Linked DNA regions of Arabidopsis thaliana. The protein of the gene in region 2 interacts with the protein of the main gene of each other region in a biochemical or structural test. Each region holds a gene or a part of one and is shown on either strand. Other genes may lie near its edges.

Evidence for each region. The genes of interacting proteins can lie anywhere in the genome.
Region 1: the proteins of PUX1 (region 2) and CDC48 form a complex in vitro, tested with the Arabidopsis thaliana proteins (one study listed by BioGRID).

The regions. Positions count from the first base shown.
Region 1 is NC_003074.8:3,017,034-3,024,615, forward strand, and holds CDC48 (cell division cycle 48), read left to right. Parts: upstream 1-2,215; 5' UTR 2,216-2,460; coding exon 2,461-2,489; intron 2,490-2,638; coding exon 2,639-2,801; intron 2,802-3,090; coding exon 3,091-3,319; intron 3,320-3,445; coding exon 3,446-4,212; intron 4,213-4,296; coding exon 4,297-4,518; intron 4,519-4,607; coding exon 4,608-4,679; intron 4,680-4,762; coding exon 4,763-5,407; intron 5,408-5,496; coding exon 5,497-5,799; 3' UTR 5,800-6,019; downstream 6,020-7,582. Other genes in the region: AT3G09830 (Protein kinase superfamily protein), read left to right, coding at 166-543, 631-891, 966-1,088, 1,169-1,663; AT3G09850 (D111/G-patch domain-containing protein), read right to left, coding at 6,364-7,582. UniProt on the Arabidopsis thaliana protein: Probably functions in cell division and growth processes. Interacts with certain SNAREs as part of specialized membrane fusion events where vesicles from the same organelle fuse (homotypic fusion).
Region 2 is NC_003074.8:10,084,899-10,091,115, reverse strand, and holds PUX1 (plant UBX domain-containing protein 1), read left to right. Parts: upstream 1-1,855; 5' UTR 1,856-2,038; coding exon 2,039-2,125; intron 2,126-2,323; coding exon 2,324-2,420; intron 2,421-2,508; coding exon 2,509-2,580; intron 2,581-2,768; coding exon 2,769-2,836; intron 2,837-2,911; coding exon 2,912-3,041; intron 3,042-3,120; coding exon 3,121-3,225; intron 3,226-3,559; coding exon 3,560-3,756; 3' UTR 3,757-4,010; downstream 4,011-6,217. Other genes in the region: AT3G27320 (alpha/beta-Hydrolases superfamily protein), read right to left, coding at 1-809; G6PD5 (glucose-6-phosphate dehydrogenase 5), read left to right, coding at 4,342-4,510, 4,784-5,001, 5,101-5,186, 5,264-5,327, 5,401-5,587, 5,672-5,829, 5,912-5,980, 6,069-6,127. UniProt on the Arabidopsis thaliana protein: Regulates CDC48A by inhibiting its ATPase activity and by promoting the disassembly of the active hexamer.

The DNA.
Region 1 (7,582 bases), 7.1 Mb from region 2:
GGGAAGCCTTAACTTTGGAAATGCTTGTACTTTGCAGATTAGTTGTTCGATAATATGCTTCAATGGTTTTGATTTTGTGGTTCGGTATATGTTATATGATCATTATCAGTGTTTTATTGGTGTCCTGCAGTGGACAAACATCGGTATTTTAATCTCCTCTCGATAATGAAGTGTTTCTTGTTCTCTGGTGGGGATAAGAGAGGGGAACAGAAGACCCCTATTTCGGTTTCATTGACCTCTATCTTCTCTGACCGCGAAATAAACCGAAGCGGGTCAGAGTTCAACTCTCGTGATGTCTCTGGGACGAGCACAGAATCATCCATGGGGAGGAAGAACTCGTACCCTCCGGTGTCTACTAGAGCAAGTAATCTCAGAGAGTTCAGCATTACTGATCTCAAGTCTGCAACAAAGAACTTTAGCCGATCTGTTATGATTGGAGAAGGCGGTTTCGGTTGTGTCTTCAGGGGCACAGTGAGGAACTTAGAGGACTCGTCAGTTAAAATCGAAGTCGCAGTGAAGCAGCTCGGTAAAAGAGGGTTGCAGGTATGTCTGTTTTTTCCAATCTTGTTCTCAAGATCTGTTACTCATCCACTGGTTTAACACTATTATCTCATTTCTTGGATGTTGCAGGGGCATAAGGAATGGGTTACGGAAGTGAACTTCCTCGGAATAGTTGAGCATACAAACTTGGTGAAATTGCTTGGCTATTGTGCAGAAGATGATGAACGTGGAATCCAACGGCTTTTGGTTTATGAATACATGCCTAACCGAAGTGTTGAATTCCACTTATCCCCTCGGTCACTCACAGTTCTTACTTGGGACCTCAGACTGAGAATCGCCCAAGATGCAGCTCGCGGATTAACATACCTGCATGAAGAAATGGAGTTTCAGGTAATATGATGACTCTGCTACGTTACTGATCTCATTTCACTCTCTTGACTAACTTTTATTTATTGGCTTTTCAGATAATATTCCGCGATTTCAAGTCCTCGAACATTCTTTTGGATGAGGACTGGAAAGCAAAGCTCTCAGATTTCGGTTTGGCTCGTTTAGGTCCATCTGAAGGATTAACCCATGTTTCTACTGATGTAAGTTCTGCATTCACTTCTTTTGGTTGCAAGATTGAAAAACAGGTATGTTTTTGAACGGGTTTCTTTGGCTTTATTAGGTTGTAGGTACAATGGGTTATGCAGCACCTGAATACATTCAAACCGGCCGTCTCACATCGAAAAGCGATGTGTGGGGTTATGGAGTCTTCCTCTATGAGCTTATCACTGGGAGGCGACCGGTGGACAGAAACAGACCCAAGGGAGAGCAGAAGCTTCTAGAATGGGTGAGACCTTATTTATCTGACACAAGGAAGTTCAAGCTCATATTAGATCCAAGGCTGGAAGGGAAGTACCCGATCAAATCGGTTCAAAAGCTAGCAGTTGTGGCCAACAGATGTTTGGTTAGGAACTCAAAGGCACGTCCCAAGATGAGTGAGGTTTTAGAGATGGTGAACAAAATTGTGGAAGCTTCTTCAGGAAATGGCAGCCCACAGCTAGTTCCGCTGAACAGTGTAAAAGCTTCGAGAGACGCGAGAGGAAAGAACAATGGTGGTGGCGGTGAAGGAGGTTGGTTTGGCAAGTTATGGAATCCAAAGACAATAAGAGCTTGTTGACTGCTTATAGAATTCAACCTCTTCTTACAGCAAAAAAAAGAGTCAAGAAAGGTTTCATGGAGATTCCGAAGGTTGAAGATTCTAGCGAGATCAAGATGAAGCTCATATACATACATAAAGATAATTATATATGAAGATTTGTGAAAGATTCTAAAATGATGAAATATGATTTTTGTATGAACTTATGAATAGTAACCACAGCTAAATTAGTAAGATATGTATATTAAGCAAGAACGGCTTATCAGAGTTTTGTTCCAAAGCTGATCAATCTACTCGTGCTTAAGTGTATATTTGTGGTAATGTGTTAAGAGTTCCTATTAATTACCATAAGTAAATCACAAACATAAATAAAATGAAAATAATTATGGGCTTTAAGGTCTGGAGGACTACTGAAATTTGGGAGAAGTAGTTGGAAAAAGAATATTAGTCGATAGGTAGGAAATTGATATTGCTTGTGGAATGGAGGAAAAAATTGAACGAAAAAGAAGTTTCTAGAATTCTAATCACATAACATAAATAGGGTGAATATTTGGGAAAAGTAAAACAATAGGGGTCGGTTTGATATTACTAGAAGATAAGAAACAAAAAGGAAAATAAGAATAAAGGAAAAAAAAAGAGCTCTCTTTTCCAACAAGAAACGTAGAGAGATATAATTAGAGAAAATCTGTGCTCTTTCAGATCCCATTATCACAAATCCATCTCTCTCTCTCTCTCAGAGAAGAAACCAAAGAAGAAGAAAAAGCTCTCAACTTTCTTCGATTTCTCAGGGAACTCTTTCGTTAATCTCAAACTCAATCATGTCTACCCCAGCTGAATCTTCAGACTCGTAAGTACCCAGATCTCTGATTTTGGTTTTCCGATCGGGATTTTTTTCGGATCTTCTTAAAGTCTGGGTTTTTCGATTTTGGGGATTAGGGTTTTGGTTGATCTTGTGTTTCTATAGTTGAATCTTAATCTTCTTTGTTGTTGTTACAGGAAATCGAAGAAAGATTTCAGTACTGCTATTCTCGAGAGGAAGAAGTCTCCGAACCGTCTCGTCGTCGATGAGGCTATCAACGATGATAACTCCGTCGTCTCTCTTCACCCTGCAACCATGGAGAAGCTTCAGCTCTTCCGTGGTGATACCATTCTCATCAAGGTTTGGGTTTGCTTTTGTTTGTTTGGATTCTCTTTTGATTGAGATATTGAATGGTTGGTTTCTGTCTCTATGAAGAGACATAATTTAGGGTTTTTTCTCCTTGCTTGATTAATGGATTCTTATGTGGTTCTACATAAACTAGGGTTTGTGGTCTTTTGAAACAAGTGATTTATGATCTTAGGTATTATACAAAATAAAAAGACTTGCTTTTGTACTGATCCTGTCTTGGTGAATGATTCGTATTAGTAGTCTTTATGAGTTCTTATTTGGTTTGGATTTTGGCTTTCAGGGTAAGAAGAGGAAGGACACTGTCTGCATTGCTCTTGCTGATGAGACATGTGAGGAGCCAAAGATCAGAATGAATAAAGTAGTCAGATCTAACTTGAGGGTTAGACTGGGAGATGTTATATCTGTTCACCAATGCCCAGACGTCAAGTACGGAAAGCGTGTTCACATCCTGCCTGTTGATGATACTGTTGAAGGAGTGACTGGAAACCTATTTGATGCTTACCTGAAACGTAAGTTGCCTTTTTGTTTTAGATCCTTATCCAGTTATGCAATTTTGATTTTTCTTTGGATGTTCTTGTTTGGTTTGAGATATTATTAGAGTGATTTCTTAACAAAGATTGAATTCTTTTCAACAGCTTATTTCCTTGAGGCATACCGTCCAGTGAGGAAGGGTGATCTCTTCCTAGTCAGAGGAGGAATGAGGAGTGTGGAGTTCAAAGTTATAGAGACAGATCCTGCTGAGTACTGCGTGGTTGCTCCAGACACAGAGATTTTCTGTGAGGGTGAGCCTGTGAAGAGAGAGGATGAAGAAAGGCTAGATGATGTAGGTTATGATGATGTTGGTGGTGTCAGGAAACAGATGGCTCAGATTAGGGAACTTGTTGAACTTCCCTTGAGGCATCCACAGCTATTCAAGTCGATTGGTGTTAAGCCACCGAAGGGAATTCTTCTTTATGGACCACCTGGGTCTGGAAAGACTTTGATCGCTCGTGCTGTGGCTAATGAAACGGGTGCCTTTTTCTTCTGTATCAACGGACCTGAGATCATGTCCAAATTGGCTGGTGAGAGTGAGAGCAACCTCAGGAAAGCATTCGAGGAGGCTGAGAAAAATGCGCCTTCAATCATATTCATTGATGAGATCGACTCTATTGCACCGAAAAGAGAGAAGACTAATGGAGAGGTTGAGAGGAGGATTGTCTCTCAGCTCCTTACGCTAATGGATGGACTGAAATCTCGTGCTCATGTTATCGTCATGGGAGCAACCAATCGCCCCAACAGTATCGACCCAGCTTTGAGAAGGTTTGGAAGATTTGACAGGGAGATCGATATTGGAGTTCCTGACGAAATTGGACGTCTTGAAGTTCTGAGGATCCATACAAAGAACATGAAGCTGGCTGAAGATGTAATTTTCTAGTCATAGCTTTTTCTGTGTTTGTTGAGTGTAATGTTTATTGAATGCTAAATTCTTCTTGTGGTTGTTTTCCAGGTGGATCTCGAAAGGATCTCAAAGGACACACACGGTTACGTCGGTGCTGATCTTGCAGCTTTGTGCACAGAGGCCGCCCTGCAATGCATCAGGGAGAAGATGGATGTGATTGATCTGGAAGATGACTCCATAGACGCTGAAATCCTCAATTCCATGGCAGTCACTAATGAACATTTCCACACTGCTCTCGGGAACAGCAACCCATCTGCACTTCGTGAAACTGTGAGTATTGACAGTACTCTGCTTAGAACGAGATCAAAGATTGTATCTTTGCGTAAATCTCATTCCAAATTTTCTTCTTTGCTTTGCAGGTTGTGGAGGTTCCCAACGTCTCTTGGAATGATATTGGAGGTCTTGAGAATGTCAAGAGAGAGCTCCAGGAGGTAAATTGCTAATATTTACTTTTGCTTGGGTCTGTCTATTAATTGTAATTTGTAACCTGAGCCGTGTGATTGTTCAAATGCAGACTGTTCAATACCCAGTCGAGCACCCAGAGAAGTTTGAGAAATTCGGGATGTCTCCATCAAAGGGAGTCCTTTTCTACGGTCCTCCTGGATGTGGGAAAACCCTTTTGGCCAAAGCTATTGCCAACGAGTGCCAAGCTAATTTCATCAGTGTCAAGGGTCCCGAGCTTCTGACAATGTGGTTTGGAGAGAGTGAAGCAAATGTTCGTGAAATCTTCGACAAGGCCCGTCAATCCGCTCCATGTGTTCTTTTCTTTGATGAGCTCGACTCCATTGCAACTCAGAGAGGAGGTGGAAGTGGTGGCGATGGAGGTGGTGCTGCGGACAGAGTCTTGAACCAGCTTTTGACTGAGATGGACGGAATGAATGCCAAGAAAACCGTCTTCATCATCGGAGCTACCAACAGACCTGACATTATCGATTCAGCTCTTCTCCGTCCTGGAAGGCTTGACCAGCTCATTTACATTCCACTACCAGATGAGGATTCCCGTCTCAATATCTTCAAGGCCGCCTTGAGGAAATCTCCTATTGCTAAAGATGTAGACATCGGTGCACTTGCTAAATACACTCAGGGTTTCAGTGGTGCTGATATCACTGAGATTTGCCAGAGAGCTTGCAAGTACGCCATCAGAGAAAACATTGAGAAGGTTAGAGATCCCATCGCCAAGCTCTTTATCCAAAGATTGTTATACTCTCCAATCGTTGAACTGAAGCTCATGTTTTTTTTTTGTTTCAGGACATTGAAAAGGAGAAGAGGAGGAGCGAGAACCCAGAGGCAATGGAGGAAGATGGAGTGGATGAAGTATCAGAGATCAAAGCTGCACACTTTGAGGAGTCGATGAAGTATGCGCGTAGGAGTGTGAGTGATGCAGACATCAGGAAGTACCAAGCCTTTGCTCAGACGTTGCAGCAGTCTAGAGGGTTCGGTTCTGAGTTCAGGTTCGAGAATTCTGCTGGTTCAGGTGCCACCACTGGAGTCGCAGATCCGTTTGCCACGTCTGCAGCCGCTGCTGGGGACGATGATGATCTCTACAATTAGTGATAACTTCTTTATCCTTTTTTTTTTTAAGTTTTAAAACTCGAATTCTCTACTTTTGGATTACTGGGGAAAGTGATACTGATTCTTTCCTCGTGTTTTTAAGTTATCCGAATCTCTTGTGTTTGGGTTTTAATCAATGTTCTTAATTTTCGTTTCAATACTTGTTTGGTCGTTCATTACAAATGGAAAAAATAAAGGATTATAAAGTAAGTTAAAAAGATTGCAAGTGATAAGTAATTGCTTTATAAGTGGTAAGTATCACAAATGTTCCCACTTATCAGCAATTTCCGCATATCAATGTTAATGCTCTAAGATCGGTACTTTCTTTTATAGAATCTTGGAGCCGAGGATGTATTTTTTTTTGCATCAATGGTGGTTAAAGAAGCCAAAAGAAAGGATGCTTTATTATGTCAACAACATTGATGTCAAGATAACAACAAAGCTGCTCCCAAGTCTTAAACATAAATTGAACAAAGGCCACATGTTGAAGATTGAAGATGAACATACTTAAAAACGATATCTTACTGTTCTTGTTCAAACATTGACCGTTAAATACTTCAATGTTTAGCCTTCAGCACCTATTCCACGTGCTCTAGGACGTCTGACAGCGACCAGCGGATTGACTATGCCTTGTGACTCTCTACCCAGACCCGAGCCTTCGACGAAACCCATTCTCGCCATCATCCTCGACCCAAAGCCTGTTGTGTGCTGCTCAAAGGCTCCCAATCTTTTGTCCCTGATTCTTCCTGAACCAGAGGCACCATTGTCATGGGTGATGCGTTTCCCATGTTTCCCGGAGGACGAAGATCTGTTCCGTTTAGCGTTGTTATTGTTATTACTTGACGGACTCGGGTCTTCAGTGTCAATGGAGAAATCCAGACCTAACCCAAGTGATTTCGGACGCTGAACAGCTTCTATTGGCTGTGCTATCCCCTTACCATCCTTTCCTAGACCACCTCCATCTATGAATCCCATTTTAGCCATCATTTTGGATCCAAAACCTCTGGTATGTACCTCAAATGCTCCAATGTCTGCTCCATTAGAGGTTCCCGGAGTAGTTTCAGCTACCTCTTTTGCAACTTTTTCAACTGAGGTTTTTGCAACAGCTATCTCAGAATCGATTATGCCACTTGACACAAATGATACAGGTTGATCAGCATAAGAACTCTTCTTCCCATTGCTTTTGTTTCTCTCCCGTTCCTCTCTAGTAGGTCGCTTTTTAGCTGAGTCTTTTGCTTTTTTCCTATCTAAACTTCCAGATTTCCCTTTTACCCCTCCACTGACAGCAAAATCACAATCCTCATCTCCAGCTCCTATTAGCTTCTCAATGCGAAGTTTATCGCTGGCAGATGGCATACATGTCTGATATGTTCGAGTCACCGTCACAAAGCTTTTCTTTCCAGAACCATTGCAGCTACTTGATAAGCGGTAGACATCTGCTAATCGTCTTACCTGAGAGCAATCTCGATTATGCATACGTTGGAAACAGTGCATGTCCACGTTCTCCAGAACAAAATTCTCTAACTGAGAATTAATATCAGCAAGATCAACACCACGCTGCAGCATTCTCTCACGGCGCTTCAAAGCAATGTATTCTTTGCGGTGTTTCTTGTTCTCACCAGGAAAACTACGGGAATTCTTGCTCTTTGGTGCCCGTGAAGGCCAAGACTGGGGAAACTTAGCCACCTCTTTCTTCTTATTCTTCTTCCCCGAAAGACTTCTTGGATCCTTCACAAACATAAGATCATCCATTGCCAATGGATTAGTAGACTTACCATGCCCC
Region 2 (6,217 bases):
ACCAAGGAAGCACCAAAAGCATCAACTATATGCTTATTAACTTCTGATTTCTTCACCTCACCTCCAGGTCGTCGAGAATTTCCCATCGACTTATTACATTCAGCCAAATTCGCCTGCTTCCCCAGCCATTTCAACACCTTGAACCCATCCTCACACGCAGCAGGATACCGATTCTCAGGCGCAAGCCTGTACCCGACTGCCAAAACAATGATGTCACAGTGCTTCGCCATCCTTCTACAAAAGAAATCATTAGCCACTGAGTCATTACTTCCACTTACCCATCCACCACCATGGAACTGCAACATCACAGGAAGTTTTCTAGAGTTTCCACCCGACGACGACGGTGCGTATCCTCTATACACGTCGGAGGATCCTGCCTCAGGGGAGGACGAACCAGTGGTGTAACCGTAACTGTTCCTTCTAGATTCTACCTTATGAGACAACAACGAATTAGACGAACCTAAGCTATTTCTCCTACTAAGAAGATCCGATCCGGCGATGTTGTTGAGAGTTCGAGCCTTACCGGAATAAACACAGGCGGAGGTACTCGGTTCAAGCGGCGTAAGAGCAGATTCCGGAAGAAAAATTCGTACAGATAAAGAAGTTAACGGATCGATATGAATATCTTTGGTTGCAACACCGTCGGTGAATAACGGATTCGGAGCAGCGACGGATTCTTCGGGTCGGGTCGTGACACCAAATGGATCCGAGGAAGATTCATCACCGGAAGATTGAATCCGGTTTTGTAAACGGTGTTTCAAAAGGAACTTGAAGAAGACACTGTAGAGCTTCACACCAACGCTTGGCATTGGAAACACCTTTTGTGAGGTTACAGAGATTTATGGATCCATGGATAGAGGAAGATGAAGAGAGATTGAGATGGTGAATTGCGATTGCATTGAAATTAGGGTTTGTGGAGTGTGAAGATTGCTTCGATTTAGAGCTTGAAGGTGAAAGATGAGCGTTAATAGAGACAAGAAGGATACAACAAAAAGATAAAATTAAAATAAGCAAAGAAGAAGCTTAGGTGGGAAGAGGCTATCAGATTAATAAATTTTCATTTTCGTAGCACAATACTTTTCTTTAAAGGTTTTATTTTTTCCTTTTAATGGTTGGTACTTTATTAATTTCAGGTGGGTAAATACTTTTATTTTGTACAACCTAGATGGCACATATTTATGTAATAACATTTCTTGTCGATATGCCATGTACAAAATGATTACATTTATTTCTTTGTATTTTTCAAAATAATTTAATGTTTATATATTACAAATGAATAAGACAAAACTAAATATTTTTCTCTTTTGTAATAAATATTTCTCAAAAATTCATTAATCTATCATGAGTTTCGAAATAACAAAACTAGACATAAGGTTCGAAAATTCAACAATCGCACTGAATCTTGAGCTGTTTATGTTGCTTATGCTTAAAACCTTACATATATGGTTTGAATGAATAATGGTGATTTGCTAGAAAATTCACCTGATCGTTGATTAGACGACCAAACTTCATCATTTTACCATTTCACTTGTTTAACTTGCTCACTTATCTTTTTATTATTTTGGCATTTCAGATATTTATCTACTACATCTTGCACTTACAAAATGAAGAACACAAAATTTCTCTATATTTTTTTGAGACTCCAAATCTCTGAGATTTTTTAATATTGGTTTAGATTATGAGAGATGCCAATGTTTTTTATTTTAATTTTTTTTTTGATTTTTTTGTTATATGGATTAAGTTGTATATAAATTATTTTGTTGATTTATAAATTTGACATTTCAACAAAAAAAAATAGTTTATTTCATACATTTCATTTTGTTTAATAGTTTAAGTCTTTAAGACTTGTGGTTTACTTGGGGAAAAATTAGATAGAAGAAAGAGGGGTCAAAAAAATGAAAATAAGAAAGAGGGCTTATCTGTAAAAAAAACAAAACATACTGTGCTTAAATTGAAAATCACCTAAAACAAAAGCGCCTCCGGTATATAGACGGTGGATTTGCAGCGAGCAAGTAAAGAATAACTTGAACCGGGTCTGATGTTTGTTGATGACCCTTCTCTACACACCTTGAAACGCAGACGACTCGAGATCACCGATTCCATGGAAGCTTCTTCTTCAGCTCAGGTCTAACTTCATTCTTCTTCTTCTTCTCCCTCATTGATCTATATCATCTGATTCCTACTTCCATTTCGATTTTCATTTGATCCGAAATTTTTCTGTTTCTTCTTCTTCTATATTTGGGGGTTCCCGCAAAGTTTTCTAGGGTTTTTCCATTTCTTGAGTCGAATTCAATATTTATTTGATGGATTTTCGTAAAATTAGGCTAAAATTGCTGATATGCGAGAGAAATTAGGGCGAGAGGTTCGTGTTTTCGAGACTTCGAGTATCTCACAGAGACCAAGTCAAGTTTCTAGTGCTGGTAACTTTTTTGGATCTCTGATTCTTATATTGCATTTGATCTGAATTTGAACAAGTCTTGTGATTGATTGTTTATGAAAATTCCACAGACGATGAATCTGATGATTTCTACGAGTTCACACCTGCAGATTTTTACCGCCTTTTGGCTACTAAGAAAGAAGGTAACATGTTCTGAAGAATCTGTATGGTTTAGTTTACATTCTTCAGCCATTTCCATGAAAATTTTGCAAATCTTTGATCAAATCCAACTGTGTTTGTCATAATCGGAATGTATTGCTTGCTCTAAAGAAATCAGTACCTTGGTTGTTTAATTCTTCTAACATGTAATGTTAAATTACTTATACAAAAGATAAATCGTTGAAGACAAGAAAAATCCGGGAAGCAGAAGAAGCTGCTCGTCGATCAAAGCTCACTAAGGTTCTTTTTACTATTGGTTTCATGTTTGGGAACTAGTTTTATCCCACTGACTATCTATAGATTGATACTGTCTAGGCTGTAATCCGGGTTCGTTTTCCTGATAATCACACATTGGAGGCAACATTTCATCCATCAGAAAAGATCCAAGGCTTGATTGATCTTGTCAAAAGAGTAGTTGCCCACCCAGATGTTCCTTTCTACTTGTGTATGTTTCCATCACTCAGATTTCAGATTTTACATTTGTCAAGAGAAGAAAACTTGATAACGTGCCATCTTTTTGTCAGATACAACTCCTCCCAAGAAACAGATAAAAGATTTCTCACAAGACTTCTACTCAGCTGGGTTTGTTCCTGGAGCCATTGTCTACTTTTCAAACGATCAACCTAAAGGTTAGTTTCTGTCATTACCTTCACCCAATACCATAGTCTTTCTCTGGGGAACTTTTTTGCATTGCGATATGTACGGGATTATAGATTTAGTAAGTGAGATCTTTTTGAGGGATGGATAACTAAACTGCACGAGGAATTGTCCAGAAACTTTCAAACTTAGGAATGAAATAGTTTGATAAGAAGTTTAGGATCATGTGAATACATAGGGAATACTAATCTTAGAAAGCTGGTTAAATTAGGTATAATATTGATTCCCCTTACATACTAAAGAATTTGTTGTGAAGAGGACTGTGTTCTGAACTTATCTTTAAAAAACCCAATGGTTTTTTTGCAGATGATGGTGGTAGTTCAACTCCTTATCTTAATGAAGAGATTTTGTCACTGAAAGATTTAGAGGCCATGACCAAAGCCGTGGAACCGGTTGAATCGTCATCAGAGCCAGCCACGGTTGACTCTAGTGCTGTACCTGTTGAACACGAGCGTAAATCCACAGAGAAGAAGACCACAAAGCCTAAGTGGTTTAAAATGTGATTTCACTTTGTTTCTCACATAACAAGAAACATGTTACCTTTGAAAAGTGACAGTTCCAGTGTGTCGGCATCACTTCACAGTAGCAATCTTATTGTGTCGGTATGGGCTTTTAATATCTTGGCTCATTTGGATTTCTTGGGCCTAAAAGTTACTTTCATTATAGCGTTTTCTTACCTGTCTCGTTCCAAAGTAGAAGAAACTAAATGAATGCATTGCGCTACGTTATATTAGATGAATGAATTTGGTATTATAACAAACAATGACGATTTATTGCATGAATTAGTATATAACACTAATTATGTCAATTGGGTTAAAGACATTTTGTGTTAACACTATTTTGTGGTACTCACCAAAAAAAAAAAAAAACACTATTTTGTGGTGGCTGATAAAAAAAAAATGATAGTAGTTGTTGCCTTGTTGGGCAGGTGAAATCTAACGGTCAAAAATGAATATGAAACTCGTAAATTATTGGGAAAAAAAACAACGTCGCATTTATTCTTTTTGACTTTTTCGTTTCCAAAAAATATCTCAGCATATCTGATCATTACCACTTTCCATTAAACTAACCTTACAATAATTCCCTTAATGGTTTCACGTAATTATAATATTAGTTTCACTACTATCCATTTACAAACAGTCCCTTTATTTTTAATCATCAGCTTTCTAATTTATCTATATAAAAATTCGAACTATCAAACTCCACCCCATAACAAAATTCTCCAAACTAGTGAAAATTTTGTCGCCACCGTCGCAGGTAGAGAGATCTCTTCTCGTAATCTTTGTTGATCCGTTTGATTTCTCGACGAAATCTGATCCATACAAATTACTTATCATTCAATTTTCGTATTGATTCTGTGTTTTATTTTCGCAGTTATGTTATAGCCTAAGTTAAGAATCTTTATCATCTTCATGAGACTCGAATTGTTGGAAAATGTTATAATTTCACAAGTAATCTTTGATTTCATGATTAACCAATCAATCAATCGTAACACAATGATTCCAATTTCACTAAACTTCAATTTTACAGGTTTGTTCTGTATTTTGGTTAGAGTGTTAAAAAACTATTGGAAGATGGGTTCTGGTCAATGGCATATGGAGAAGAGGTCTACTTTAAAGAATGATTCGTTTGTAAAAGAATACAATCCAGTCACGGAAACTGGGAGTCTCTCTATCATTGTTCTTGGTGCTTCTGGTGATCTTGCTAAGAAGAAGACTTTTCCTGCACTTTTCAATCTATTTCATCAGGTTTTTTTAAACAAACAAGAATCTTTTTTATCTTTTATTGTTTTCAATGTCACTTGTTTTTATTTATTTGATGTGTTTATTGGTTTTACATGAGCACAGGGATTTCTTAATCCAGATGAAGTTCATATATTTGGATATGCAAGGAGTAAGATTACTGATGAGGAGCTTAGAGATAAAATCCGCGGGTTAGATGATCCGATCCGGTCCGCCTTTTTGTTGCATCTGACACAATGAAAAGCTTATATTATCATGTTTTATGTAGATATCTTGTTGATGAGAAGAATGCATCTAAGAAAACAGAAGCTTTGTCCAAGTTTCTAAAGCTGGTTAGTCTGTTTCATTTACACAGTTATAGTCCCGTTTGTTTTTGGTAACTGAAAATACAATTTTCTTGTATAGATTAAGTATGTGAGTGGACCTTATGATTCTGAGGAAGGGTTTAAGAGATTAGACAAGGCGATTTTGGAGCACGAGATATCTAAAAAGACTGCTGAAGGATCTTCGAGGAGATTGTTTTATCTTGCACTTCCTCCGTCTGTATACCCTCCTGTAAGCAAGATGATCAAGGCATGGTGCACTAACAAATGTGAGTTTACTGTTAGATTTTGTTAACATTATTAGATAGAGAATATTTGGTAATAACTTCATTGGAAATGTATATTGTTTCCAGCTGATCTTGGTGGATGGACTAGGATTGTTGTTGAGAAACCATTTGGAAAGGATTTGGAATCTGCAGAGCAGCTGAGTTCTCAGATTGGAGCCTTGTTTGAAGAACCACAGATTTATCGTATTGATCACTATCTGGGAAAAGAGTTAGTTCAAAACATGGTAACACATATTTGCTTCTAGTCATTAGTTTATTAATTTAGACAAATAAAGATATAATCTAACGCATTCATCGTTAGTGCAGTTGGTTCTTCGGTTTGCCAATCGCTTGTTTTTGCCACTATGGAACCGCGACAATATTGCAAACGTACAGGTGAGAGTTTGATCGCTTAGCACAAATATTTCTAAACTTTTGTATAGAGTTGAATCCATCCACATAAATCTCTAATTTCTTTTTGCAGATCGTTTTCAGAGAAGATTTTGGAACTGAAGGTCGCGGTGGATATTTTGATGAATACGGGTAAGCTTTTCTCAGTGTTTCATTTGAATATGATATACATGAGACAGAAGTATCATTGCATTCTGATGACTTGTATATATAATCTTCTAT